Stegostoma tigrinum: one gene and its partners. The protein of the gene in region 2 interacts with the protein of the main gene of each other region in a pairwise test. Links are inferred from orthologs where the notes say so. Each region holds a gene or a part of one and is shown on either strand. Other genes may lie near its edges.

Region 1 (7,416 bases), on a different chromosome or scaffold from region 2:
TTGTGTCTTTCCATTACTCCTGCATTCCCCCCTCCTCCTTCAATACTTTTTGTGTTTTGCTCTCCCTTGGTTCTGCTCTTTCAGGTCTCCTGCCAATGAGTCACAGATTCTGCAATGAAAAGCATTTACATTGATATGCATAAACAACACCCATTTTCTTCAAACCACTATTGAAATACTCCTAAAAAATCAACTTGTGTCCATCATATCCTGAGGTGAGTCTTGAGCCAAACGTTCTAGCTCAGAGCTACCAGAGCAGCACAAGACCATCACCTGTAAGATTCTTTACATGCACTTATACTAGGGAATTGCAATATTATAATTTAGATGCAGGACAAGAGGCAGCAGTCCATAATTGTTAAGTTGTTTGACAAAGGGTCACTCAAGCTAAAATACTGAAATAACATAGGTTCTTCCGCAGCCTGTTTTTAAGATTATAACTAGAGAATATTGTGAATTTACATATCTTGTTCTGGTCATCTGTTAACTATAAGAAATTCTTCACAATACCTAATATAATTCTGCACAGAAAGGAATATTTACACATGTTGGACAAATTATGGAAGCTTGAAAATATGCATTAATTTTTCATTCAAAAGGGATAAAAAAAACGTACAAGAGAGTTCAAGTTTGCTTAAAAAACTCTAAGAAATGATAGACCCTGGCAAGGGGCAAATATGCAGCAGGATTGGTAAACAATCATAATGTTGTTTGCAATATACGAAATATCACTGCACCTTTCTCAACTTATCACACACATCTTTCATAAACTCTGGCATTAACACAGGTAGCGATTATGCCAATCCGCAATGGAGGGAAATAAAAATTGCTCAGAAACTCAAAGACCTCTTAACCAATATTCTTAATTTATAGCCCACAAACTGTCCATATTACTATTATCAGCAGTATTTCACCCAAGAGTTTTACAGCTCAAGCCATTCTCTATACACACACACAACTTAAACTTTGGAAGGACAAATGCTATAATTGTAACGCTGAACATTTTTGGCTAAAGTGTACATAATATGAAAATTTCACTCATTCATCATTACATTTCATTGATACCCTAGTGACAAACTGAAATTCAATCTATCCCGCAATATAGTGTTCATTGATCCAATGTATAATAGATGTATAGTATTGGGTATAACAGATGTAATTAAAGACGTAATTTTCAAACATATGCCCCCAGCATGTTGCCCAAATGCAAGGCACAAGCCAATTCTACGACCTGTACAGTCATGGTCCACGTCAGAAGCTTCACTTTGTAAAGCTATCCTTAAAATTTCATCAAATTTAGAAGAACATTTATGGAAGATAGTTTAAGCACGTCATATTTTCAGTGCTTTAAAAATGAACTTTTTTTCCCTTTTCCTACTTCTACACAGGCTTTAGAAGGTTTTTGTTGGTGTTTTTATCTTTAAAGAGCTGTCAAGAGTGTCATTTCATTTACTGTAGCATGTCTGTCACCAAGAACTCCTTTTCAAATTGCTATCATTAAACATGAATATTTATAGATTCAAAGACATGTTCTGATGCCTCACGTACTAAATGAACAGCCTGCCGATGTTGACTACAGGCCACTTAGCTGAGGTGTAGGGCATCAGAGTATGGACAACTGAGCAAGATTTTGGAAGATCATCACTACTCATGGAATCATATTCCAACTCTGCTTTCATAAAGATAAAATTAACAGGGAGAAACAAATACAGTAATTATTTCATTATCAACATCTTTCATTGATTATCAGAATAAATTAAAACTGGAAGAGATAAAGGTTGTTAATCATAAAATATTTTTAATATCGGACATTGAAATGAATATATAATGTGAAATACCTTCTCAAAATGCGTTTTCAATTGCATTATAAGAATTGCAACAGAATAAAAGTTTGTATAATCAAAAGCAGAAGACACTTTTATTCTAATGGTCACAATTTAATTGGACTAAGGACTGTATTTCCCATTTAGCCTTTTTTCCATGAAATCCATATTTAAATAGCAGCATATCAACTGAAATACAGCTGATGGATTTTGAACAGGCCGAGTCAGATCTGCACATGTCTTGTAAATTCCAATTTTAACCTGGATTTGGCTTGTGCACGTGTAATTTGGTTTAATTTAATTCTAATGCCGGGGGGGGGGGGGCGGGGGATGGTGGAGTATTTACCAATAATTCGGTGGATACAACAATCATGTTACAAAGTCCAGCACGGGGCTGCAGTGTTCGGAAGCTGAAGTGCAAATAAAACTTTAGCAGCTTTTGGGTTCACGAAGTTTTCATACTGGCATTCAGCTAAAAGGAAAAGAAAAAGAGGCTCTGCTAATTCCTGCCTCTGACAATCAGTTCAAGTTTCTGCCATGTTTATTTATGTAAGTTCTCATTGCTGCGGCCACAACAAAAAGCGAGCTTCTGTATCTCTCCCAATGTGTTGCGCAGTTAATCCTCCGCACTGCTAGCATCCGAGCGAATGTCAACGGGAGCCATAGGATGAGAGAGCGTGTAGCTCCACCATTTGGCCTGTTCGAACTGCTCAAGCTGCGAAGGAAGTGGTTATCGGAGCACAAGAAAAATCAGAAACAAATACCAATCACCCAGCTCTGAAAATCATCAACTAGAACACTGTTTTTCAGATAACCGGGAAGAGAAGAAAGAAAATGAAGCTGGCTGGGCATTTGCTCACACTCTTTTTAAAAAGTCGACGCGTTTGTTTATCTTCTTAACTCCCCGAGCTCCGCAGTTAACAATCGTCCACAGCACACACCAGTTTGTTTCGAGTGTTTTTCTCGGGGCCCCTTACCTGGCGCCTGGACTGCAAACAAGCTCAAAAGCAGCAGAATAATGACAAGTAGTTGAGGACGGTCGACTCCACTTCGACTCATTGACTTCTTCCTCTCAGCTTCTCTGTTGGTTAGATAATACATCAAGAAGCACTGTGGGAAATTCCTCTACCCTACAACTCCAAATATGACCATTGGACAGAGGCCACCGTCAATGGCCCTCTTATTTGCCAATGTTTTTGCTGATGTGTTAGACAAAAAAAAATGTGGATATGTTTGGCTAAAGAGAGGCTCTAGCATAAGAATTAGGTAGTTTCTTTTAACGCAGCGCAGAAGGTTAGTGAATTAAAAAGGAAATGTTCAGTACCTTACCTAATATTTTTGTTTCTTTTTAAATGATTAAAATTTGGTTTTATTTCAAAATTCCTGCAGTGGTACGTGTCTTCTTATCAACTGCAACACGTTAAACCTCTCAAATAAAGGGGGAAAAATTGAACTTCTTTTTGACAAATATTCAATTCCTGAAATAGCCTGGTGTCACAGTTCAAGTTTGAAGATGTGGTAGTGGATGTTGAGGCAATGTATTTTTGCGGGGATGTATTACAATTTTAAATATACTTTAAAATTTTGTAAAGCAATTTCTTGCTATAGCACCTTTAACAATGCTTCGCAAGATCGCAACAGACAATTGGCCAAGGAAGGAGGTACAGGAACAAAAAATTGATCAGAGAGGTTTTAAGTGGCAGCAAAAATATGGAGAGAGATGCAGAGCAGTGCAGAGGCCTAGGCAGGAAACATCAGAGTTTGGGGCAGTCACAGCTGATGACTTGGGAGAAAGAAGTTGGAAGTGCACAAGAGGCAAGATTTGGAGAGTCACAGAATTTGATAAGTTGTGTTCAACAAATTTTTGATTGATAAGGGGTTGCAGAGCTGAGTAAGGCTACAGAGTATGGAAAGGTGATACTGTGGTGGGATTCGAACACAAAGATGAGATTTTAAAAAATTGAGGCCAATGCATGTCAGCAAGAACATGAATAATGGTTGTATGGGACTTTGCAGAAGATGGGCTACAGGCAATAAAATTTTTAGGTGAGCCCATTACATTTGACCAATTAATTATTGAAGTTCTTTGAAAATATAATAATCAGGTTGAATATAGAGGAACCAATATACATAGTATATTTAGATTTCAAAAGGCATTCGATAGAGTCCCACTTGAAAGGCTGTTACACAAGATACCAGCATGCATTGTCAGGGACAATATTTTAGCATTGATAGAGGACTTCTGAACCAACAGAAAGTATAGAATTGGAATGAATAGATTACCATTCAGATTTGCAAACTAAAAACTAATAAGCAAGGATCAGAGCTGGGCCTTCAATTATTCCCGATCCACATTAAAGTGACTTGGATGAAGGCTCTGCAACTCTTGTCTGTTAAATTTCGCTTATGAAACTCTGTGATTCTCTGAATCTTGCTTCTTGTGCACTTTGAATTTCTTTCTCTGAAGTCATCAGCACTTAATGTCCCACATTTTGATGTTCCCTGCTTAGACCTCTGTACTGCTCGGCATCTCACTCCATATTTTTCGTTATGAGTTTAGTTTGTGACAATATGAAGATGGTTAGAAAGAAAGTTGTGAGAAGGATGTAAACATGCTGCAGAGCAATTTAGATAAATATGTGGGCAAAAATTTGGCACATGGTGTATTTGGCAGTTGGAAAATGTAAGGTTTGCCATTAGGAAGTAAGAACAGAAATGCAAAGAATTATTCAAATAAAGAGTGCCTCCAGAATGCTGTGGTACAGAGGAACTGTTCTATCTTTATAGAGTAAATACAAAAGGTCTGTATGCAGGTACTGCAAGTAACTAGTATGACAAAGAGAATGTTGCCCTTTATTGCACTAGAAATTATGTATATCAGTAAGGAAGTCTTGCTACCAATATACAGTGCATTGGTAAGACCACACCTAAAGTACGGTATACAGTTTGGGCATTTTGTGTAAGAAGGGATATACTTGCATTGGAAGCAGTCCTGTTTGAGGAATTTACTAATCAGATGCGTACGAGGAAACTTTGAGCAGGTCCTCACAGTACCATGGATCTGGATTCATTTCCACCTTCAGGCCACCATTTGTGTGGAGTTTGCACATTCGTCCTATGTCTGTGTGAATTTCCTCTGGGTGCTCCGGTTCCCTCCCACAGTCCAAAGATATGCAGATTAGATTGATTTGCCATATTAAATTGCCCATAGTGTCCAGAGATGTTCAGGCCCATACTACTATTATCCATGTGCTTGGTGGCAGGCATTGGCCTCAAATTTTCAAATCTCATCTTTGTGTTTGAATCTCACCACAGTCTCATCTTTCCATACTCTGTAGTCTTGTTCAGATCTGCAACCTCTTATCAATCAATAATTTGATTAGCCATGGGAAGTTCAGGGTTACAAGGATAGGGTAGGGGTGCGTCTGGATGGGAAGCTCTTCAGAGGTTTGACATGGCATTGATGGGCCAAATGGCCTGCTTCCAAGCTGTAGGGATTCTATGTCTATATCTATAAAACCACAGGATGTAAGAACAGAAATAGGCTACTCAGCCTATCGAGAGTGCTCCACCATTCAGTGTGGTAATGGTTGATCTGATAATACTCAATTCCACTTTCCTGTGTTACCCACATAACTGCATGAAAAAATTGCCTCTTAGGTCCCTTTTATATTTTTTCCCACTCACATTAAACCTTACCTTTTAGTTTTGGACGCCCCTATCCTTGGGATAAAACCTTGGCTATTCACCTTATCTATGTCCTGCATGATTTTATTAATCTCTATATTAAACCTCTTATAACTCAAGCCTTCCAATGTCAGTAACATCTTTGTAAGTCTTTTTTGCATGATTTTCCAGTTTAACAATATGTTTCCTGTAACGGGATGACCAGAATTGTATGCAGCTCTCCAAATGTGGCCTTACCAATGTCTTTACAGCTGTAATATGATGCCCCAATTTCCATGCTCAATGCTCTGACCAATGAAAGCAAGCGTGCCAATTGCCTTCTTCACCTCCAGTCTACCTGTGATGCCACTTTCAAGGAACTATGTGCCTATACTGCTAGGTCTCTCTGTTTGACCACACTCCCCACAAAAGACCATTTCGCTTGAGATGAAGCTGTACCATGGATCTTACTTTTGCAGGGTGGTTTATTGGTAGCTGGCTGAGCGATCTCAAGCTTTCTTGACTGCTACTGAATAAAGCTCACCCAACTCTCTCCAGGGCCACCACTACCTGCCTGCCAAAGGACTGAAATCTTTCTTCCAGCTGTCAATAAAAGAATTCTTCCCAGTCTCACATTTGTTTTCCCTCTTCTACACTAAAAATTTACAAGTACAACAATGATAGAATTTTAACGGCACTTTATTGTTAAATATAAGCATCTCATGATTATCTATTGTTGATCACCAGCACACTTCCCTCTTATTAAATTCTTTGACACTGATATTTGTAGCACACATCTGCATATTCTGATGCCTTTAAATTAATATGCATAGAAAGCTGATGTAGTATACCTTCAGTAGTGGCCCGGCATGTCATGTTGTGAACAAAATGCCTCACAATCTCATCAAATAAAGATTCTAAATAGTCCCTCTACAGACTGTGAACTCTTGTAGGTACAATGCAATCAGGCTACCTTTAGGATTTTGGGCAGTCTTGGCATAGGCATTGACTTCTTTTGCAGCTTTGCAACAACATGTGGCATGCAACCTAAAAGCTCAGTTGTTCTATTAGTTGCCACATCCAACTTTGACACATTTGTCCATGGAGCAGAATATGGGACGATCTTCCATCACATTACAGCCTGCCACAACGTTCTTGTTATCACATTTTGGCATCGTTTACCTTGCCATGAGATGCTTCTAGAGACACTATAAAAAAGTGAGGGAACATAAAGAGCAAGAACAGTTACATTCAAATAAATACTTTATCTCACAATACATTTAGACCATTTAGAAGAAATGTTTCCAATAGCATTACAAATAAAGGTGTTAGACGTAGAATGACCAAATTTGACCTTCTCTTACTTGCTTCCATGGCAGGACCACACAATTATCAATCTAAAGTTTCAGCAAAGATTTGTAACTTGGGTTGTGGGTGAGGTTTTTGACTTGTTTGCCAAGCTAGCTTGTTTTCGTTCATAGATAACAAGGTGTACAGCTGGATGAACACAGAAGGCCAAGCAGCATCAGAGGAGTAAGAGAATTGATGTTTTGGGCCTAGACCCTTCATTCAGATGTTTTGTCACCATGATAAGTAATATCACCAGTGCGGCCTCCAATGAAGCAATGTTGTTCGACACTGATTGGAATTTATACTGTCTGGTCTGCTATGGTGAGTAGTGTCATTTCTGGTTTTTTTCTGTATGGGTTCATATATGAAGCCCAGTTCTGTACGTTTGTTGGTTGTATTATGGGTTTAGAACCATGCTTCTAGGAGTTCCCGTGCATGTCTATCTCTGGCTTGGGCTACTATGGTTACGTTGTCTCAGTTAAGCTGATGGCCTTCGTTGTCTGAGTACTCTGATGCTAAGGAAAGTTCATTGTGTCGTTTTGTTTCTAGCTGATGTTCATGTATTCTGAGGGTCAGT
Region 2 (7,322 bases):
ATTGAATAATTACAATTGAGAATTTCAATTCCAGGGCATTTGATACAAAGTACCAAGACTTTACCACCTTGATACTCACTTCCACACTACTTCTGGCAAGCTGATAACTTTTGATAAATTGAACTTCTGAATCGTAAAAGGAGGGAGCAGCACTTTGACCAATTATGTGATTAACTGACAAATCCAAAACATGACCAACTTCCAAAATAACCCATTAAGATCTGCAACACGGAAAGAAATAAGTGTCCTGACATGTCTGCGCCAGCTATCATGAAAACAGATTATTTCAATATCATTTTTGTCATCCAATCCATCAAGAGTTCATAACGTTCCAGTCAATACAGCTACTATTGTAGTGACCTGATTTAAAGCCAGAAGATAAAAGAAATGAATTAAAGAACAGATGTGCCAGAAGTTCAAGGAATCAGAGAATTTTTTGGCAAAAGTTGCTGAATTTCCTATTAGCAACTTAAATAGATACCAAAAGTACTGTTCCGATCACACGTACAAAAGCAAGAGGGAACCAGCCCTAACTGAGATACTCCTGCTGACAAAAATGCAGTAGCTCACAGAAAAAAACCCTTTCAATATGAAATCAACACTTGCACAGCACCCATCATATCCTCAAAGCCTTCAATCAACAGATAATGAGACGTCAGTCATCATCATATCTCCATTTGTGGGAGCTTGCTGTATGTAAAACTGCGTGCCATATTTCAAAAATGTTTCAGCGGCTGTAAAGCCATTTGGGGCACTGAGATAATGAAATATGCTATACAAATGCAAACCTTAGGGAATCTGAAGGTGGTTTTCCTTATTATTATTTTATACGCGAAATTTACAGCCAACAATCTGACACAATAAAGAAGATAAGAAGCAATGCATTTCCTTTTAGAGAACGTCAGTTGTTTATTTAATATTGCATACAACTAATCCATACCTCGGTCGGTTGCACATGCCAGATGTGCAAACAACTCATGCAATGTCCAAAATCAATCCATGTAGTTAACTGTTTGTGTTGTATGAAATATACGTGACCATGTAATGTTGGCATAGATTGGTAACAGCTAGTTAAGAACACAGTTACTCCTTGGCTTTAATTAAAACCAACAGCTTATTTGTCAAGAGCATTAGGAATATTCCCACTACCTGTCTGCATAGCAGGACTAACTTGAATGGTTATACAGTTAAAACAGGGAGGACACCTCCATCAAGAGAGCTGGACGAGTCAGTCAATTTAATCATCAACAGCAGCCAGAAAGTAAGGCACATTTGCTGGCTGAGAGTTAATGCCAAAGAAAATGAACTTCAAAGATTCCCCTTATCATGGGGGGTAATCTTTGAGCCAATTTGATCCACAGAGGCCTACTCCTCCCAGGAGGACAATCACTGGGATATCTGTAAACAATTGAGCAGAGGTTTTTCATCAAGTTTGGAGCATCATTCTTGCATCTGTACTAAAAGTGGTGACTTATGCAAAAGGAAATTTGGGGAAGTGTATGGAGTGGTCAGGAGAGTGGGGCATATGATAGACTCCGCTCAGACAGACATTACACACATATTAGGGTTAAGCAAGTAGGATTTCTCCCCAACCAGTCTGGCATAGTACCTTGGGGTGATAAGGCAGGCTGGGATGTCAGTCAGGCTAGCAGTGTGCAGGAAAGAGAGTTGGTAACGGGCTACAATTCCACCTCTCTTTACCCCTTTCACACGCAGACTTGTACCTTGTGGGCCTGACGGTGCAAGGATAGGGTAGGGATCATCCCCAGTAGCTGACATTGTGTCCAGGGTGGGGGACAGGGTAGAGATTATCTCCGACAGGTTAGGATTGTGCCCAGGGTCAAAGACAGAATAGAGATCACCCTCACAGACTGACACTGTGGTCAGAGCAGGATTCTTTCTCGACTCCCTACCACAAAACCTCCCAGGCGGGCACTGCACGCTAGGGTGGAGGTAGGTTAAGGGGGGGGGGGGGGGGGGGGGAGGGAAGGAGAGAAGAGAGGAGAAGTAGAATTCTCCCACATCCCTGTGCTGATGCCAAGCCCCAGAGGCATGGGAACAAGGTAGTGGTGGACACAGTAGGATTCTTTATTCTCGTCCACCTTTAACACTGTGCCTAGAGAATTTGGGAGAGGGTGGTGGTGGAGAACAAGTTAAGCCACAGCGAGTAAATTCTCCCCCCAAACTGGCACTGCAGCTCAGGGATGGGTGGACAGAGTACTAGGAGAAGGGAGAAGAACAGGGTATGTGGGAGAGGGATGGGGGTGAGCCAGGGCTAGGAATAGTAGGGGTGCGAGAAGGGGGAAATAAGAGAAGTGGCGAGCCGGAGGGTGGTGGGGGGGGGGGGGTGGGGGAGAGAAAGAATAGGAGAAGTGGCGAGCCGGGGGGGGGGGGGGAAGGGGGGAAGAATAGGAGAAGTGTGGAGCCGGAGGGGGGGAATAAATAGGAGAAGTGGGGAGCCGGACGGGGGGGGGGGGGGGGGTGCGAGAAGGATGTGGATGGGGAGCCGGAGGGGAGAAGGATGTGGATGGGGAGCCGGAGGGGAGAAGGATGTGGAGCGAACCGGGAGTGCAGGGTTGCGGTGGGAGAAGGGGTCGCGGGGAACGGGGTTGTTCTCCCCGCCCCACCCCACCCCCGCCTGACACCGCGATACCACCTCCCGGGGGGACCGGAGAAAGCGGCGGCCGCAGCCCCTGGCCCCAGAGTCACTTGCTAACCCTCCCTTCGGGGCGCATAGGCCGTGGGGGCCCCGAACTCGCACCGAACCGTCTCCCCCAGCGGACAGGCGGTAGATCAGCCGGTCACCCCGAGAGGGGAAAAGGAAAACAGTTCCGACAGTCGATCACGGAGCTTTGGCTTCTTCCCCCTTAGCCTCCGCAGTCTGCCGCTCACCCTGTCCCTCACCTTCTTCTTGGCAGACGCCAGCTTAGCCCGTCTGCTCCCGTCGGCCATGGTATCCGGGCCCGCACACGTCACCAAGCAGCTAGCGGACTCCTCCAGTATCCCGGCCTGCACCAGGCCCCGACAGCCGAGGGGCGGGGCTTCGGCGACACGTACCGACGATCTTTGTGACGCGACAACGCAACGAGTGGGCTGGTTTTGTGACATCATCGCAACGGCGACAAAGTGCCATGGCAACCTAGAAACAATGTCGAGCTCTGTGTCATCAATCACACTCAAATAAACAAACTCGGGGGCATCAATCAATCAGTCAGTAATAAAGTAATTAATAAACTCCGGGGATCAATTGCAGTCAGTAATAAAGTAATTAACAAACTCCGGGGATCAATTGCAGTCAGTAATAAAGTAATTAACAAACTAAGACTCTGGGGCATCCATCTCATTTACTAATAAACTCATGACTCAAGTAGAATTGCTGGAGAAACTCAGCAGGTCTGGCAGTATCTGTGGAGAGAGAGCAGAATGAATGTTTCCAGTCCAGTGACAAGCAGAGTTTCTCCAGTCATTTCTGTTTTTCTTTCTGATTTCCAGCAACCGATGTAGCCAAATGGTCACTCGACCTGAAATGTTCATTCTGCTCTCTCTCCACAGATGCTGCTTGAGCTGCTGAGCTTTCCCAGCAATTTCTGTTTTTGTCTCTGATTTACAACATCTGAAGTTCCTTAGGTTTTTATTCTGAAGAAGGGTCACTAGACCCGAAATGTTAATTCAATGTTATCTCCACAGAAGCTGCCAGACCTGCTGAGTTTCTCCAGCATTTCTACTTCTATGATGTGTTTACTGGTAAATGAGATGGATGCGCCAGAGTCTGAGTTTATTACTGACTGCAATTGATCCCCGGAGTATATTAATTACTTTATTACTGACAGATTGATTGATGCAAACGAGTTTGTTTATTTCTGAGTGTGATTGATGACACATAGCTCGACATTGTTTGCAGGTAGCCATGGCGCTTTGTCGCAGTTGTGAATCTTCTGATGTTTCACATTTTTAATCAAAATTGCCAGTTTACCAGCTCCAGCCACCTCTTCTTCAACATGGCCTGGTAATCCTTTACACATTTCTGAAAAAGGGTCAAAAATAGAAATTGCTGGGAAAGCTCAGCCAATCAGGCAGCATTGTGGAGAAAGATCAGAATGAACATTTCAGGTCAAGTGATCGTTTGGCTTTGTTGGTTGCTGGAAATCAGAAAGAAAAACAGAAAAAAAACTGGAGAAACTCTGCCTGTCACTGGAGAAGGGTCACTGGACCTGAAACATTAATTCTGCTCTCTCTCCACAAATGCTGCCAGAGCTGCTGAGCTTTCCCAGCAATTTCTATTTTTGACCCTTTTTCAGAAATGTGTAAAGGATTACTAGGCCATGTTGAAGAGGAGGTGGCTGGAGCTGGTAATCTGGAAATTCTGATTAAAAATGTAAAACATCAGAAGATTCACAGGTATAAATAAGAAGGGAGTTGACAAGGGGAGGAAAAAAAATTGTTTTCAGACAGGAAGAAATGAGTCCCATGGAACTGGAGCAGGCAAAAATAATGTGTTTGCCTGTGCAGTCTTGTGTGTGAATTTTGGGATGGAGGTAGAAGTAGGCTGTGTGAAGTTGGAGATTAATGAGTTTGGAGGCAGTGGAATGGAATTGTCGGATCAAATTAGAATAGTCATAGAGATATACCACACGGAAACAGACCCTTCAGTCCAAAGCGCCCATGCTGACCAGATATACTAAATTAATCTCGTCCCATTTGCCAACATTTGTCCCAGGCCGCTCAAAACCCTTCTTATTCCTATACCCATCCGGATGTCTTTTAAATGTTGTTATTGTATGAGTATACACCACTTCCTCTGGCAGCTCATCCCACACACACACACCACTCTCTATGTGGAAAAGTTGGCCTTTCGTCCCTTTCAAATCTTTTCACTCTCAGCTTAAACCTACGCCCCTGTAGTTTTGGACTCCCCCATTCTGGGGAAAAGACCTTAGCTATTCACCCTATCCATGCCCCTTGTGATTTTATAAACCTCTATAAGGTCACCCCTCAGCCTCCGACCCTCCAGGGAAAATAGCTCCAGCCTATTCAGCCTCTCCCTACAGCTCAAACTCTCCCACCCTGGCAACATCCTCGTCAATGTTTACTGAACCCTTTCCAGTTTCACAACACCCTTGCTGTAGGAGGGAGACCAGAATTGCAGGCAATATTCCAGAAGTGGCTGAATCAATGTCCTGTACAGCCACAACACGACCTCCCAACTCCTATACTCAATGCATGGGCCAAAATAGGCAAGCATACCAAATGCCTTCTTCACTATCTTGTCTATCTGCCACTCTGTTTTCAAGGAACTACGAACCTGCACTCCAAGGTCTCTTTGTTCAGCAGCACTCCCCAGGATATTACCATTCAGTGTATAAGTCCAGCCCTGATTTGCTTTTCCAAAATACAACACCTCACATTGATCTAAATTGAACTTCATCTACCACTCTTTGACCCATTGGCCCATCAGGTCAAGATCCTTCTGTACTCAATGATAACCTTCTTGATGATGGTGGACATAACGGCCTGATGTTCCACGGTAGGGTCATGGTCCAGGGGAGACAGGACGAGATGTTTGAGAGCTGGCACTCAACCTCTGCAATGTAGAGATCAGTATGCCAGTCAACAGAAACATCCGCCTTGTCAGCAGGCTTGATTCCCAAGTCAGGTTTGGATCTGGGAACACAGCGTATGGTCAGTTTAGAGGGTATCACATTGATAGTTCTTGAGAAACAGGTCAAGTTCCGGTAAAAGGACAGAGGGGTGGGAAAAGTTCTGAAGAAGGGTCACTGGACCTGATACATTAACTCTGCTTTCTCTCTACAGATGCTGCCATGTTGAGTTTCTCCAGCAACATCTGTTTTTCTTTCTGACTTCCAGCATCCAACAAAATCAAAGACCACTCCGACCCTGGTTATGCTCTCTTCTACCCTCTTCTATCAGGCAAAAGATATATACATTTGGATATACATATGAACAGATTGAAGAACAGCTTCTTCCCCACTGGTTTTAGACATTTGGTAGATCTCTAATGTTAATGTTGATTTCTCTCTGCATTTCTCAGCTACAGTAACTCCATTTACCTGCCTTGGTCTGTCCCGTAATACCCCTTCGAACAAAAACCCTTTACTCCTGGTTCAAATGTATTATTTGGGCTACTTGGTACAAACTGTTATTGTCAGAGTGTGTTCTACACACGTACAACCCTTTGCATGAAGGCCTGTTTTCAAACTTCACTCCTGAATGGCCTGGCTCTGACCTTCACATTCTGTCCCTCTATCCTGGACCTGTTATTTTCTCTACCACCCTATCCCAAATTATCGAGCTCAAACGGAAACAGCTTCATGGTAAGACCAGTGTAAGGATAGAATGAGGATAACTCGTAAATTCATAAACTCATAAATGTTCACGTTTCCATGAATAATTTCAAACTAACAAAATTCTAGATTTGATGTAATGGTTAAAGGCATAGGATTGCTCCCAACTAATTCAAAACCCATTGCATCACTGAGCAGCAAGATTCATAAGGATGTGTTTACCTGTAGGTCTGGCAATGTCAAGGTAACATTACAAAGCCTAAATGATTTAATCACAAGCGTAGGTCACTAGTACCTCAAACTTTCATATCACTCTTATTTTTAGCTGAGATATCAATTAAGTAATATTAGCAAACTAGAGGTCTACAGCACAGAAAAAGGCCCTTTAGCCCATCAAGTCTGTGCCAGTCAAAAACAACCTCCTAACTATTCGAGAGATAGTAAGAACTGTTGATGCTGGAGTCAGAGATAACACGGTGTGGAGCTGCGTGAATACAGCAGGCCGGGCAGCATCGGAGGAACAGGAAAGTTGACATTTTGGGTCAGGACCTTAACTATTCTAATCCCATTTTCAAACATTTTTCCCATAGTTTTGCAAGCCTTGGCATCGCAGATGCACATGTAAATATTTCCTCAGTGTTATGAGTGTTTCTGCTTCAACTACCCTTTCAATTCATGTTAACATTTTCCAATGCTCGCATATGTAATGGTAACAGGCTACTTCTATGTAAATTTCACAATCCCAGGAGGATATGTTGTGACCAGGTGAGGAGGGGGAACCAACAAATATTTTTTAACACCCTTTGGGCTGGTGCAGCAACTGTTTTTAGTATGTAGTTAACATACTTGAATTGAAATGTGATTAACCACATTAAAATTAAGGTGCTAAATTACATGTTTTCTTGAGCAAACGAAAAAGATATTACTGCCTACCCTGAAGAAAATTAATTTAATTGCCACATTAATCACTCATAGATGAACAGGTATTAAATTTGTTTCAAAAAGTGCGGAGAGTGATCT
Region 3 (7,550 bases), on a different chromosome or scaffold from region 2:
AAAGTCTCTGAACTCTCATTATCACACTTTTGAAAGCCTCCCACTTGCCAGTCGTCCCTTTACCTGTGAACATACTACGCCAAACAACTTTTGAAAGTTCTTGACTTATATGTCAAAATGTGTTTTACTTCAATTAAGAACTTTAACTTTTATAAAAGGTCTACCCTTTTCCACAGCTACTTTAAAACTAATAGAATTATGATCACTGGTCCCAAAGTGCTCCCCCACTAACATTTAATTCACTTGCCTGCCTTATTTCCCCAAACAAGGTCACGTTTTGTTCCTTCTCTATTTAGCACATCCACATGTTAATAAAGAACATTTTCTTAAATGCATTTAACAAATTCTTCACCAACTAGGCCTTAACACTATGGCAGTCCCAATCTATGTTTGGAGAGTTAAAATCTCCTATGATTATAACCCTATTATTCTTACATATATCTGAGATATCTCTACATATTTGCTTCTCATCTCCCAACTGACAACTGGAGGGAGTACAGTACAATCCTGTCAAGGTGATCATCCCCTTCTTATTTATGAGTTCCACGCACAGAGCTTCACTGGACGATCACTCTAAGCTAAGTGCAGCAGTGATGTTTTTCCTAATCAAAAATGCCATTACCCCTCCTCTCTTGCCTTCCTTTCTATCCTTCCTATAGCATCTCAGCCCTGGTACAGACTTGCCAGTCCTGTCCCTCCCTCAGCCATGTTTCTATAACAGCTATGATGTCCCACTCCCATGTTTCCATACATGTCCTGAGTTCAACTGCCTTACCTGTTGACCCTTGCATTGAAATAAATGCAGCTTAACTCTTCAGATTTACCTATCTCTCTGGCTTGTTTTTGCCTTCCTTTTCTAATTAACTTGCTCTCTTCAGCTTCAGAACCTTCCACATCTATGTCTCTATTGTCACATTCTACTTAGGATCTCCACCCAGCCACTAGTTTAAAAGGTTCCCAAATAGAACTAACAAACCTCCCCACCAGGATATTAGTCTCCCTTCAGTTCAGGTGAAAACTACCCCTTCTGAACAGGTCTCTTCTGCCCCAGAAGAGGTCTCAATGAACCAAAAATCTGAATCCCTGTCCCTTGCACTAGCTCCTCAGCCATTGATTTAGCTGCCCTATCTTCAAATTCCTACTCTCCCTAGCATGTGGCACCCAAAGTAATTCAGAGATTACTGCCTTTGAGGTTATGATTTTTAACCTCCTACCTAACTTCCTGTGTTCACTCTGCAAAGTCTCAACCTTTTCCTTAACTAAGTTGTTCTTACCAATGTGTACAACAGCTTCTGGCTTTTCACACTCCCCTTTTACAGTATGCTGCAAGCCCTTTGAGACGTCCATGACCCTGGCACCAGGGAAGCAACATACCATTCTGTTTTCTATGGGCACAGAATCTCCTGTCAGTGCCCCTATAGCAATTACCCTTTTGAATCTTGAGAAACCCTGCTTAACAGAAGGGTCATTCTTGGTTTCCATGATCTGGATGCCTCTTCTATTTTCTTCTGAGAGAGTATCTCCCTAATAGTAGCCAAAAACAGTATATCTGTTTGAACGAGGAATAATCACAGGAGACTCCAGCACTACCTTCCTATCTCTCCTGACAGTCACCCATCTATCTGACTGGACCTGTGGTGTGACCACCTCTCTAAATCTACTAACCACCACATACTGTGTCTTCTGTATGCTCCCCAGTGACTCCAACTGCCTCTCAAGCTGACTCAAACAGTCTGATATGAGATGGTTCTAAACACACATGGAGGCACAGTGGCACAGTGGTTAACACTGCTGCCTCATAGTGGCTATGACCAGGATTCAATTCCACCCTTGGGTGACTGTGTGAAGTTTGTACATTCTCCCTGTGTCTGCATGGGTATCCTCCAGGTGCTCTGGTTTCCTCCTGCACTCCAAAGATGTGCAGGTTCAGTGGACTGGCTATGTTAAATTGCCCATAATGTCCAGGGGTGTGTAAATGAGGTGGGTTAGCCATGGGAAATGCAAGGTTACAGACACAGGGTAAGGGCGTGGTCTGGGTGAGATGTTATGCAGAGGGATGGTGTAATCTCGATGGGCCAAATGGCCAGCTTCCACACTGTAGAGATTCTATGACACGTCCTAACACATAATTAAGTGTGAATTATAACAATCTATTCGGCAGAAACAGGATTCAGACCAGTTTCAAAACATTAAATCGCTGTGTTCTACCTTTAAAATGTGAACATTTGGATAAATTACAAAATTACAATGCTCTTCCATTCAACTGTATTCTTAGAATTGATTTTTTCCTGCGCGTTGAAAAAAATGTGGCGACACTAACAACTAACAAAGTCGACGGGGAAAAAGTCTGGACAGTATCAGTGCAGGTAACTGACCCGTTCAGTTAACGTTTCACCTTCCGACCAATTTCTCACTTAGAATTCCCACTGTAGCTTCCGGTGCACACCTCTCACAGCAAAAGGGTTATCGTTACGTAAGCAAAGCTCCAGCCTCCAATTCACTCTGTCAAAAAATACCACACATATAAATAAAAGGGACTGGCTCCGATTGTTAGTTACACTTCACCGAGACCCTTGTAAGTAACAGTATAATGCATATTCAAACCAAAGCCCCTAGCAGCCACAGTATTGTTCGAGCACCGTCGCTGAAGACGGGAAACCGTTTCATCTACACACACTGCACGCACATTAAGTGCGTTGCAGCTCAAGGGCCGGAAAGCAAAAAGTGACACAGTAGAGCAGGCAAGGCAGACCGTGAGAGGGGGTACATCAGCAAAGGCCTCATGACATTACTTAGCTCACTGCTGATCAACCTCGTCCGAGGGTTCGTAAACAGTGCAGATTTCAAACTAATTCAACAGTGGCAGGATGCGGTAGTCTTCGATCCGAGTTTTAGAAAGTAAAACATAGTGCACAGTGATTTTTTTAAAAAAACCTCGTTAAAAGGGAGTGCAGCGCCTTGTCCAAACTGCCCACTCTGCGAGAGCGAAAGCAAAGCAACGACTTGGTGTGCCGACAGAAGGCGGCGCTAGGCCCTGCCTCTGGTTACCCTGGAAACACCCAACGACTCCAACCGAAAGACCGCCACCCGAGACAGCTGACCCCCGGGGTCTATCACTCACACAGACGTAGCAAGAACTGCGGATGCTAGAGTCAGAGACAGCACAGCAGGCCAGGCAGCAGAGGAGTAGGAAAGATTCCTGACGAAGAGTCCCGACCCGAAACGTCAACCTTCCTGCTCCTCTGATGCTGCCTGAACTGCTGTGTTGCCCCAGGTCTATTCCTGCTGCACAGCTCTCTGCTCAACCTCACCTCGGGTTACCGTGCAATCTCTTAACGTTCAACCCTCAGAAAATATGTGAGGAGAATGACAGAGGTTTTGTCATCATTTGTGGAAATGCTGAAGGTCTTAGAAAATATAAAGATGGATAAATCTCCAGCACCTGATCAAGTGTATCTAAGGACTTTGTGGCAGGTTGGGGAGGAAATTGCGATTGCAGAAATGTTTCTATTATCTATCACCTATAGGTGAGGTGCTGGATGACTGGAGAGTGGCTAATGTTGTGCCCTTGTTTAAGAAGGGTTGCAAGGAAAAGCCTTGGAACAAAAGACCTCTGAGTCTGATTTTGGTGGTGGCTAAGTTGTTGGAAGTGATTCTGAAAGCTAGGATTTCTATGCACGTGGAGAGGCAAGGAGTAATTAGGGACAGCCAGCATGATTTTGTGCAAGGGAACTGGTATCTTACAAACTTAATCAAGTTTTTTGAGGAAGTAACCAAGATTGATGAGGGCAAAAGTGGTAGACATTGTTTAGTTAAACTTTTGGAAAGCCTTTGGTAAGGTTCCACATGTTAACCTAATTAGTAAATTTATATCATGTGGCATTCAGGGTGAACTTGCCAATTGTATACATATTTAGCTTAATGACAGGAGACAGAGAATGATGATGGAGGGTTTTTTTTGGATTGGCAGCCTGTGATCAGCAGTGCTCCACAGGGATCGCTGCTGGGCCCACTTTATTTGCCATCTATATAAATGATTTAGATGAGAATATAGAAAACATGGTTAGTAAGTTTGCAGATGACACCAAGACTAGAGATATAATGAACAGTGAAAAAGGTTATCTCTGAGTACAAAGAGACCTTGATCAAACGGGTCAAAGGCTGAAGTGTGACAAATGGAGTTTAGTTTGGATAAATGCAATGCATTGCAATTTAGTAAAACAAACAAAAACAGGACTTATACAATTAAAAATAGCACCTTGGGTAGTGTTGCAGAACAGAGAGACCTAGGGTTTCAGGTGCATAGTTCTTTGAAATTTGCATCACATAAAGATAGGGTGGTTAAGAAGGCATTTAACATGCTTGCCTTCATTGCTCAGGCCTTTGAGTATAGGAATTGGGATGTTATGTTGACGTTGTACAGGACATTGTTGAGGCCTCTTCTGGACTACTTTTTCCAGTCTGGCCACCCTGTTATAGGAAAGAAATTTTTAAGTTGGTGAGGGTTCAAAGGAGATTTGCCAGAATTTTGCTGGGAATGAAGGATTTGAGTTATGGGGAAATTGCGATTGCAGAAATGTTTCTATTATCTATCACTATAGGTGAGGTGCTGGATGACTGGAGAGTGGCTAATGTTGTGTCTTTGTTTAAGAAGGGTTGCAAAGAAAAGCCTTGGAACTAAAGACCTCTGAGTCTGACTTTGGTGGTAGCTAAGTTGTTGGAAGTGATAGGCTATGAGTTTTTTTTTCATTGGAGTGTAAGAGATTGAGGGGTGACCTTATGGAAGTTTATAAAATCATGAAGGGTGTAGATAAGGTGAATGGCAGGTGTCTTTTTCCCCTAGGGTGGGGGATTTCAAGGCTAGGCAACGTATTTTTAAGGTGAGAGGAGAAATATTTAAAAAAGACATGAGGGTGATTTTTTTTACATAGAGAGTGGTTTGTGTGTGGAATGAACTCCCAGATGAAGTGGTGAATGTAGGCGCAGCTACAACGTTTAAAAAACATTTGCATAACTACATGAACAAGAAATTTTTGGTAAGATATGGGCCAAGCGCAGGCAGGTGGGACGACTTTATTTTGGAATTATGGATCAGCATGGATTGGTAGGAACAAAGGGTGTGTTTCTGTGTGGTATGACTGTATGACTCTATCATCCACAGTGATGTCATATGACTTGTGGGTAGAACATCTTATAATTTCAAAGGATTGAGACCTAATCAGCTGGATCTTCCTCAAAGTCTTTAACAATGTAATATCGATGTAATCTATGACTAGTTATACACTAAACTATATTGTATAAGGTATAAGATTCTTCTAGTTACGCCAGGAAATTGTTCTCCCCTAACACACTAGCCAGACCAAGTAGGCCTTATAGTTTCCTGTACTTAGAGTATATTGACAACAACCTACATCATGAGTAGAAACACAGGCAGCAGAGTGAGTTGTATGCCCATGTAATTCCTACTCTCTTTGATGTTACACTATTATTCATTTCATCATTTAATCAAATCCAACCTCCACCCTATCACAGACCCCTTTTGTTCTTCTCACTTCTGCATCTCCAGTTTCTCTTAACGCCATTACATCTGTATCAGTGACCAATTCCGATGAAAGGTCATTAAACTGAAAACGTTAACTTTTTTTCTTCATCGTTGCTGCTAGATCCCTGTAACCCCACAATTACCATTGCTAATCCACCTAGACTGCATATCCCTGGACACATAGAGGCAATTTATCCTGGCCAATCCATTTAACCTGCACATCTTCGGATTGTGGGAATACCCAGTGAAAACTCACAAGAATCAAGAAGAACATGAAAACTCCACACAGTCACCCAAGACTGGAATCAAACTAAAGTCCCTAGGGCTGTGAGGGAGAAGTGCTAATCATTGTGCAACTGTGTGCTCCATATTGAAGAATATATGTTGGCCACTACTCCGAGGATAACCCACCTGTTCTGCTTCCTCAAAATAATACTATGGGATAGAATCCCTACAGAATGGAAACAAGCTCTTCAGCCCAACAAGTCCGTATTGACCCTCAGAGGATCCCACCCAGGCACATTCCCCTATAACACACCCAATCTACACATCCCTGAACACCATGGACAATTTAGCACCTCACCTGCACATCTTAGGACTGTGGGGGAAAACCGGAGCACATAGAGGAACCCCAGGGAGAACATGTAAACTCCACACAGGCAATCACCCAAGGGTGCAATCGAACCCAGGTCCCTGGTGCTGTAAGGCAGCAGTGCTAACGATTGTGCCACCCAACTCTTGGTTTAATGTTTCATCCTATAGTGAACTGCTAGCTTTGATGCTTGAGCTCAAGTCTTTGGAGTTGGAATTGATCCCAGAACCTTATGATTTAGAGGTAAGAATACTACCTACTGAGCCATGATGGAAAATGTCTTTGTAAAAAGATGAAGTACAATGCTTTACGTTTAGCTTTATTGGTCAGAGTGAGATTGGGAATAAAATGGAAAATTAAAATGACAAATGACTGAAACTTGGGTTCATGCAAACTGAACTAGGTTGGTCCACAAAGTGATCAGTATGTGTTTGGTCTTCCCAATAAAGCAGAGACTGCAACATGGGTAGTAAATAGAACATATTAAATTGGAAGAAATTCGAAATTGTATTGCTGGTGAGGATTTTACATGAAGAGGAAGGCAAAACCAGAAATGGATGAGAGAGGCCCTCCAGTTCTGACTCTCATTCCAGTAGAAATCTTGCACTGGCTAATGTGGCTTACAGTTCACCAAACATTAGCCTTAGCAATCCTTACAGATACCAGCCTCTGAAAATAGGCCTGCAAATATCCAGCTTTTCATGATCCCCTCTAACATTCAGCTATTAATGATACTTCCAGTGTCCCGTTACCAGTTACCCCTCCAGTGTCCAGCTACCAGTGATCTCTGCAGCTTCCAGTTACAAATGGTCGCCCCCAGCTTCCTCAGCAGAAAGTCTTAAGAGAAGAATATTCATCAGCATGGCAGAAGCAAGATTCTAGATGTCCATTGGTTCAGTGATGATTCCATGCCTGTTCTTTTTTGGGCTGCTTGGGCAATACAGGAACAGAAGTTGGAGATGTCCCCACCTAGCTAAACATTTTGGGTGGAGGCAGTAGAGAAGGTAAGCAACCATGGAAATGTCTGGAGAATGTTCATGCAGAACCATAAGTCTGTTAACAATATACTATGCTCAGCAAGGGTGAGTACCCAACATCACAATTCTCTTTGGAGGCAGAAATTAGACATGTGTGAGGGTGTGCTTACTAGAGAGGGAGAGCCTAGCATGTTGATGACAATGGGAAGAGGTGACAGATTTTCCATGGAAATAAATAGCTGAAGTTCGGACATAGGGTGTGAGCCTGACAGTGTCAGATCCTACAAGATGGCCCCAGAGTCACCAAGTTCCTCATGCATGCAATTGGACAGATTTAGTAGCAAGCATTTAAGGCATTTTGGTATGGCATTTGCTCTTGTGTAGCCACTAACATTTTTCTTCTATGTTCCAGCAGGAGAAGAGAGCCCTGAAGATGGGC
Region 4 (7,464 bases), on a different chromosome or scaffold from region 2:
TCCGGTCACAAAGTCTTGGATTCAAGGCCCTTCTAAAACCACATCACCCAGACAGATAATTCTCTACACTACTTAATAACTGTATTCAAAGTGATAAAAACTACAAGTATCAGTTGATTTAATTTCAATCATTTTCAGATGTGGCTAACAGGTTGTGCAATTTAAGACTAAATATATAAAGAAAGGTTCAGTGATCTCCCAGTGGGTAAATTGTTTTATATTCAAAGCAGCCACACAGAAGAAAAAGAGTTAGTGAGGCTGGCAATATTGAAGAGTTTGAGGAACAGGAAGTAGACTGATAGGGATTTAAAATGTCATCCAAAGAGTCAATGTGGTGCCTCAAGCCCCTACAGTCTGCCCACAACATAACAGGTCCTCAGAAGATGCCCTAGCCCTGCACTCTTCCTGGAGCATTTAGACATCAAAGACACCTATGTCAGACTCCTGCTCATGGACCACAGGTCTGCCTTCAACATCATTATCCCCTCCAGGCTGATCTCAAAATTCCATGACATTGATCTTGGCTCCTCTGCAACTGGGTCCTCAGCTTTCTGACCCATAGGCTGCAATCAGTGAGGATGGCTAACTCCTTCGCAATAACACTCAACACTGGAACCCTGCCCACCCCCACCAAGGATCCATCTTCAGCCCCCTACTGTACTCCCTGTACACCTACACTGTGTTGCCAAATTCGGAACGAACGCTATCTATAAGTTCGCTGACAACACCACCATAGTGGGACAGATATCTAACAACAATGGGTCAAAGTACGGAAGGGAAATGGAGGACTTGGTGAAGAGGTGCAATGAAAATAATCTGTCTCTCAATATCGACAAGACTAAAGAAGTGATTATGGACTTCAGAAAGAAAGGAGAACACGCCCCCACCTACATCAACAGAACTGAGGTTGAGAGAGGGAACAGCATCAAGTTTGTCGGAGAGATGATAACCAACAACCTGTCCTGGATTTCCCACACAGATGCAACAGTCAAGAAGGGTCAACCTGGTAATGATCTCCTACAACCTCTTCCATGAGGCAGAAGATACAGAAACCTCAACACACACACAAGCAGGTTCAGAAACAGCTTTTTTCTGTAGGAGGAGTAGGATATGAAATGTGGCTTTAGAAAAGAACTGTGAAAGTGATGAATGGACTCTACCCTCCAACAATGTAACCTGTATGTCTCCAAGTCTTTTTCATCTGTACCCCCTTTGCTTGCTGTGAGCTTCCTTTACCGCTCGTAAACAAAGCTTCTCACAATATTTCATGACACCTGACAATAAAACCAATCAATCAAAAAGCAAACGAGGGAGGGACTAGGGATGATGGGGGGTATCGATAAAGGCGGGAGAAATCAATGGAGGGAGGGGGAGGGGAGAATCAATGAGAGGCAAGAGGGATCAATGAGAGGCAAGGGGGTACAATGAGGGGGAATCGGGGGGGGGGATGAGGGGGAATCGGGGGGGGGGATGAGGGGGAGTCGGGGGGGGGGATGAGGGGGAATCGGGGGGGGGGGGATGAGGGGGAATCGGGGGGGGGGGGGATGAGGGGGAATCGGGGGGGGGGGGGATGAGGGGGAATCGGGGGGGGGGGGGGGATGAGGGGGAATCGGGGGGGGGGGGGGATGAGGGGGAATCGGGGGGGGGGGGATGAGGGGGAATCGGGGGGGGGGGGGATGAGGGGGAATCGGGGGGGGGGGGGATGAGGGGGAATCGGGGGGGGGGGGGATGAGGGGGAATCGGGGGGGGGGGGATGAGGGGGATGAGGGGGGGGGGGGATGAGGGGGAATCGGGGGGGGGGGGATGAGGGGGAATCGGGGGGGGGGGGATGAGGGGGAATCGGGGGGGGGGGATGAGGGGGAATCGGGGGGGGGGGGATGAGGGGGAATCGGGGGGGGGGGGGGATGAGGGGGAATCGGGGGGGGGGGGATGAGGGGGAATCGGGGGGGGGGGGATGAGGGGGAATCGGGGGGGGGGGGGATGAGGGGGAATCGGGGGGGGGGGGGATGAGGGGGAATCGGGGGGGGGGGGATGAGGGGGAATCGGGGGGGGGGGGGATGAGGGGGAATCGGGGGGGGGGATGAGGGGGAATCGGGGGGGGGGGATGAGGGGGAATCGGGGGGGGGGGATGAGGGGGAATCGGGGGGGGGGGATGAGGGGGAATCGGGGGGGGGGGATGAGGGGGAATCGGGGGGGGGGGGATGAGGGGGAATCGGGGGGGGGGGATGAGGGGGAATCGGGGGGGGGGGGATGAGGGGGAATCGGGGGGGGGGGATGAGGGGGAATCGGGGGGGGGGGGATGAGGGGGAATCGGGGGGGGGGGGATGAGGGGGAATCGGGGGGGGGGGGATGAGGGGGAATCGGGGGGGGGGGATGAGGGGGAATCGGGGGGGGGGGGATGAGGGGGAATCGGGGGGGGGGGGATGAGGGGGAATCGGGGGGGGGGATGAGGGGGAATCGGGGGGGGGATGAGGGGGAATCGGGGGGGGGGATGAGGGGGAATCGGGGGGGGGGATGAGGGGGAATCGGGGGGGGGGGATGAGGGGGAATCGGGGGGGGGGTGAGGGGGAATCGGGGGGGGGGTGAGGGGGAATCGGGGGGGGGAATCGAGACCGGGGGGGGCGTAATTTGAAGATAAATATTAAGGTGACGATGGCGGGAGGTGGGGGGGGGGGGGCTCCAGTCTGACGCGGGGCCGCGCTGAGGCCTAAATCCTCGGCGTCAATTTCAGCAGCTCCCCCCTCCCTCCCTCCGGGCCGCGCGCTACCCCTCACCGGTTCCTGCTGCCGCCCCCTCTGTCTCTGTCTCTGTCTCTGTCCCCCCGAGGGGGAGGGGGGTAAGGTGTGGGGGTTGGGGGGGGGGGGGGGTGCGGGTTGTTGTTGTCCTTTCGCCCCGCGAGGCCCTGAGCGCGGCGGCTGCTCACCGGAAGCTTGGGCCCAGGGTCCATCCACATCGCGGCTCCGGGGGGAAACACGGAGCGGCCCCGCCGCAGAAACGGTCCCTCCCCCGCCGCACACAACAATAAACCGAAAGCTGCAGCTGTCCGCCCGCAAACCCACTGTGTTCACCCTCGGGTTACAGTTTTTTAAAATTTTATCCCTTTAAAATATATTTACACATCCACCACACCCCCACCTCAATTACACGCACACACGCTGGAGACAGTCCATCTATCCACTTGGTCAGTCAGTGCACCTGGCAATTCGACTGCAGCAAGCATCACGGTCAAGTCTGCCTTCAGCCTCGCATCTGTCCTTGAGCATTAGATCCACCGTTTGAATGGAGTACCATTTCAAGTGGTCATTCACGTACTTCTTTTTTAAAAAACTTAACCAGAATTGCTCTTACATACAGCTGAATGTTTTGTTTTCCCCGTCACCAACTCGCCCATGGCCCAAGTGATTTTTAAAGGCTGTGAGAATTACCTGCTTCTTCATCATTTACCTACTGCCAAACTCCTGCTTTCTCCTCACACCCTTGACAGGTAACATGCAAGAATGGAAACTGTGCCAACTTTGTGTTCTTCACTTGAAAGTCTTGCAACTTGATAAGGAATGTTTTTGTGAGCCGCAGCAGAAGGTCCTGAAACAGTTTACAGCCAGTTATGCATTTTTTATGAAGGAAAGGGCAGTCATTGTTGTATTGGACACTAGCAAGGTCCCATAGATAGACAGGAAAGTCTGATTTAGTTGCACAGCTTTAGGGATCAATGTTGGTTTGAACGACAGGAAAATCTCTCCTGCTGTTCTTTTAAATGATGCCATGGGATCTTGTACAATCACCTGAGAGGGGTAAAAAAACAGGCCGCGAGCACCTCACGAACTGCGACAGTGCAGCTTTCCCTCAGTACTGCACCAGAGGCCAGTTGATTGTGGTTAAGCCCCAACTTTGACACAGAAACAGAAGCGCTGTCACTGAGCCACAATGGGTCAACTGTTCTTTGGGAGTTGATCAATGAGTGACTCCGGACACACCGACTGTCTCACTCACTTTTCAAGTGCAGCATGGCAGCTCAGCGGTTAGCACTGCTGCCTCACAGCGCCAGGGACCTGGGTTTCAATTGTACCCTCAGGCAACTGCCTGTGTGAAGGCTTGCACATTCTCCCTGTGTCTGTATGGGTTTCCTCACACAACCTGAAGATAGGCAGGCTAGGCCAGTTAGCCATGGAAAATGCAGGGTTATAAGGTGGTTTGGGTGGGATGCCCTTTAGAGGGGCAGTCTGAACTTGATGGACCAAATGGCCTGCTTCCGCACTGTAGGGTTTCTATGATTTCTGTGAAGTATCATGCCTAAGGAGGGTATTGATAATCATGGACCTCCATCAGATTAGTCCATGTTGCAGACTGATAATCACCCTGTGGACTGTATTACGGTACCCTTCCATGGCCATCGGGACCTGAACTCAGAGCTTTACCTGCTGTACTACAAAACCTCCCCCTCGGGACTCTAAAATTTTAAAAATAAATTAGTATCAATGTTTGGGGAAGTGTTTGAAGTGAGATATTTCGAGGTGAAAAGGGCAGTGAAAGTCCATTGAAACAAATGAGCCGTATTATTTTGCGAGGTATTATCAAAGCAGATCAAATAGAAAATGAAACATGGTCAAATTGGGAAAATTATAATTTACAACAAAACAGCATTTATGATTTATTTATACTCATTCACAGGATGTGGGCATCACTGGCTAGGCAGCATTTATTGCCCATCCCTAATTGCCCAGAGGGCAGTTAAAAGCCAACCACATTGCTGTGGGTCTGGAGTCACATATAGGCCAGAGCAGTTTCCATTAGTGAACCAGATGGACTTTTCTGACGATCAGCGATGGATTCATGGTCGTCGTTAGACATTTAATTCCAGATTTTTATTGAATTCAAATTCCACTGTGTGCCTTGACAAATTTTGAAGCCAGGCCCCCAGAACAATTACCTGGGTCTCCAAATGAATGGTCTCACGATAACACCACTGGGCCGCTGCATCCCCAAAGCAAAAATGAGAAAAAGCGAGCAAAATCCTGGCCCGGACTTGTAAAGTAGGTGGAACTTTAAGTGTGAGTTTTAGGTTGTGTTGGGACTGTTGTGTTGTCTGAACAGGGGTGGCGGCACCATGGGGAGCTTGGCCGCTGCTGCGAGATGTTTCAGGAAAATGAGAAGAGCCCCCTCCACCCGGCTTTTCCAGGGGGCAGGCACCACGGGAAATGTATCGGTTATTTATACACCAGGCCGCTGGGCCAGTGAAAGAGCTCAATGTGATAAACTGACTGTCAGAACTCAGAAGGATGGGATCAGGTTGGTGGGGGCATGGACTGACCCAGACGCTACCCACTAGAAATTACACAGGTTCAGGGCACTGTTCTTCTTCGGGTAAATTGGGATGGGGTTGGCAATACTAGCCTTCTGCAGAGCTGGGAAAGCAGTGGCCCGGTGGTATCATCGCTGGACTGTCAATCCAGAGACCTCTGCGAATGCCCTGGGGACTCAGGTTCGAATCCCGCCCGGGGAGGATGGTGGAACAGTACAAAAAGAAAACATCTGACCCTGAACTCGTCGCTGCTGATCCCATCTGGTTCACCAATATCCTTCGGGGACGGAAACTGCCATCCTGTGGCTCCTGGCACACTGTTATGTGGTTGGCCCTCAGCTACCCCGTGGGCAGTTAGGGAGGGGCAATAAATGCTGCCCTCACCGGAAATGCCCCCGTTCAGGGAATAACAAACACAGGGGGCCAATCCAGTTACGAAAGACTTGAGCAGTAGTTTGTGGGAGGTGTTCAAATGCAAAGTCAAAGAGGCTGCTTTCCTAAATGGACAACAAAACAGAGATATTTAAGATTTGCCAAGGGCGTAACAAACAGGAATAGGCCGTTCGGCCCCTCAAGCCTGCTCCATTCAATAAGATCATGGCCGATCCAACACTCCTCACATTCACTCTCCTGCATTTTCCCCATAAACTTTGACTCCTCAACTGGCCAAGAACTTATTCGGCCTTGAATATACACAAGGACTCCATCCTCGCAGCTTCATGTTGGCAAGAAGTCCCAAAGACTCACAACCCTTTGAGAGAAGAAATTCCTCTTCATCTCAGTCTCAAATTGCCAACCGTTCATTCTGAGGGGATACTGTGTGAACCCAGACTCTCCCATGATGGAAAACATCCTCTAAGCATTTACCCTGTTGAGCCCCTGAAGAAACCTGTATGTTTCAATGGGGTGTCACCTTTCTCCTCTCTCAATTTCAGTGAGTACAGGCCCAACCTACTGAACGTCGCCTCATAAAGCAGTCCCTCCCTTCCTGGTATCTCTGGGCTGCCTCCATTGTCAGTGTGTCTCTAGAAAATAGTTTGTCTCCTGTCTAGGTCCATCGTTCTGAATAACCCACAGAAGAGGAATGCTCTGTCGCTGGCCATGTTGGAATCTCTGCGCACCAACCTCCTCCACGAAGCAGAAAGCAATGACCTGCGCGTTATTGTCATATCAGGTAATTCCAGCATGGGTTTTAACATTTAACACACCTACTTAGATCATGGGGTAAAGTAAAACGAAGCTAGGGAAATGAGACTGATGGCACGGTGGCTCAGTGCTTAGCACTGCTGCCTCACAGCGCCAGGGACCCGGGTTCGATTCCAGCCTCGGGCGACTGTCTGTGCGGAGTTTGCACATTCTCCCCGTGTCTGCGTGGGTTTCCTCCGGGTGCTCCGGTTTCCTCCCACAGTCCAAAGATGTGCGGGCTAGGTGGATCGGCCATGGGAAATTGGTCATAGCATACAGTAGACATAGATTCTACATGGGAAATGCAGGGTAGATCTGGGTGAGATACTGTTTGGAGGGTTGGTGTGGACTTGATGGGCTGAGTGGCCTGCTTGCACGCAGTAGGGATACTATGAATGCTCTCTTTGTACCTTTAAAAAGTACTTGGATGAGCACTGGAAATGTCGTCACATTCAGGGCTGTGGGGCTAGTGTTGTACTGGTGATATTTTTGACAGTACAGATTCTATGGGCCGAAGGCCTCTGCGATTCTACGATTCTACTGGCTTAGATGATCCCATGTAGTGCACTAATTGAGGCGTTATAAATCACTCTGGGAGATATAGTGGCAAATTAGTGAGTGCTCACTCCAGCTCCTGGTTTCTGTCTTCTGCATTGATTCAGGGTTTAGGTAAGCTCGGGAGCAGGCTGTGGGCTGGAACATGCAAAGGAGACAACTGTCAAACCTCACACAGGAAACCTGGGACAACCACCAGCGGGAGGGGGGAGTATAGCTGCAGCAAAACCATATCCCAGGAAAAAGTTAGCTTCTCCAGAGAGAAGAAACAGGGTAAAAATCACGCGGGGAACTGAATTATGAGTAACATACAACTTAGGAGCATATGTAGGCCATTCAGACCCTAAATCCGACACTACTGTTCAATAAGACCGTGGCTGATCTGTTCCACATTCCCAACTATCCCCAATAACCCCCGATTCATC

Evidence for each region.
Region 1: the proteins of golga2 (region 2) and msrb3 interact in binary tests that used the Homo sapiens proteins (3 or more experiments, as listed by UniProt). The two-hybrid records come from large-scale screens. The link is inferred for Stegostoma tigrinum from reciprocal best matches to the Homo sapiens genes GOLGA2 and MSRB3.
Region 3: the proteins of golga2 (region 2) and coiled-coil domain-containing protein 150-like interact in binary tests that used the Homo sapiens proteins (3 or more experiments, as listed by UniProt). The two-hybrid records come from large-scale screens. The link is inferred for Stegostoma tigrinum from reciprocal best matches to the Homo sapiens genes GOLGA2 and CCDC150.
Region 4: the proteins of golga2 (region 2) and rbm17 interact in binary tests that used the Homo sapiens proteins (3 or more experiments, as listed by UniProt). The two-hybrid records come from large-scale screens. The link is inferred for Stegostoma tigrinum from reciprocal best matches to the Homo sapiens genes GOLGA2 and RBM17.

Annotation. Positions count from the first base shown.
Region 1 is NC_081371.1:39,159,285-39,166,700, forward strand, and holds the start of msrb3 (methionine-R-sulfoxide reductase B3), read right to left. Parts: upstream 3,020-7,416; 5' UTR 2,925-3,019; coding exon 2,801-2,924; intron 1-2,800. UniProt on the Homo sapiens protein: Catalyzes the reduction of free and protein-bound methionine sulfoxide to methionine. Isoform 2 is essential for hearing.
Region 2 is NC_081382.1:36,886,020-36,893,341, reverse strand, and holds the start of golga2 (golgin subfamily A member 2), read right to left. Parts: upstream 3,020-7,322; 5' UTR 2,953-3,019; coding exon 2,905-2,952; intron 1-2,904. UniProt on the Homo sapiens protein: Peripheral membrane component of the cis-Golgi stack that acts as a membrane skeleton that maintains the structure of the Golgi apparatus, and as a vesicle thether that facilitates vesicle fusion to the Golgi membrane.
Region 3 is NC_081367.1:33,931,520-33,939,069, reverse strand, and holds the start of coiled-coil domain-containing protein 150-like, read right to left. Parts: upstream 3,005-7,550; 5' UTR 2,793-3,004; intron 2,503-2,792; 5' UTR 2,376-2,502; intron 1-2,375.
Region 4 is NC_081378.1:5,885,751-5,893,214, reverse strand, and holds the start of rbm17 (splicing factor 45), read right to left. Parts: upstream 3,018-7,464; 5' UTR 2,924-3,017; intron 2,904-2,923; exon of another isoform or gene 2,775-2,903; intron 1-2,774. Other genes in the region: echdc3 (enoyl-CoA hydratase domain-containing protein 3, mitochondrial), read left to right, coding at 5,105-5,286, 6,352-6,473. UniProt on the Homo sapiens protein: Splice factor that binds to the single-stranded 3'AG at the exon/intron border and promotes its utilization in the second catalytic step. Involved in the regulation of alternative splicing and the utilization of cryptic splice sites.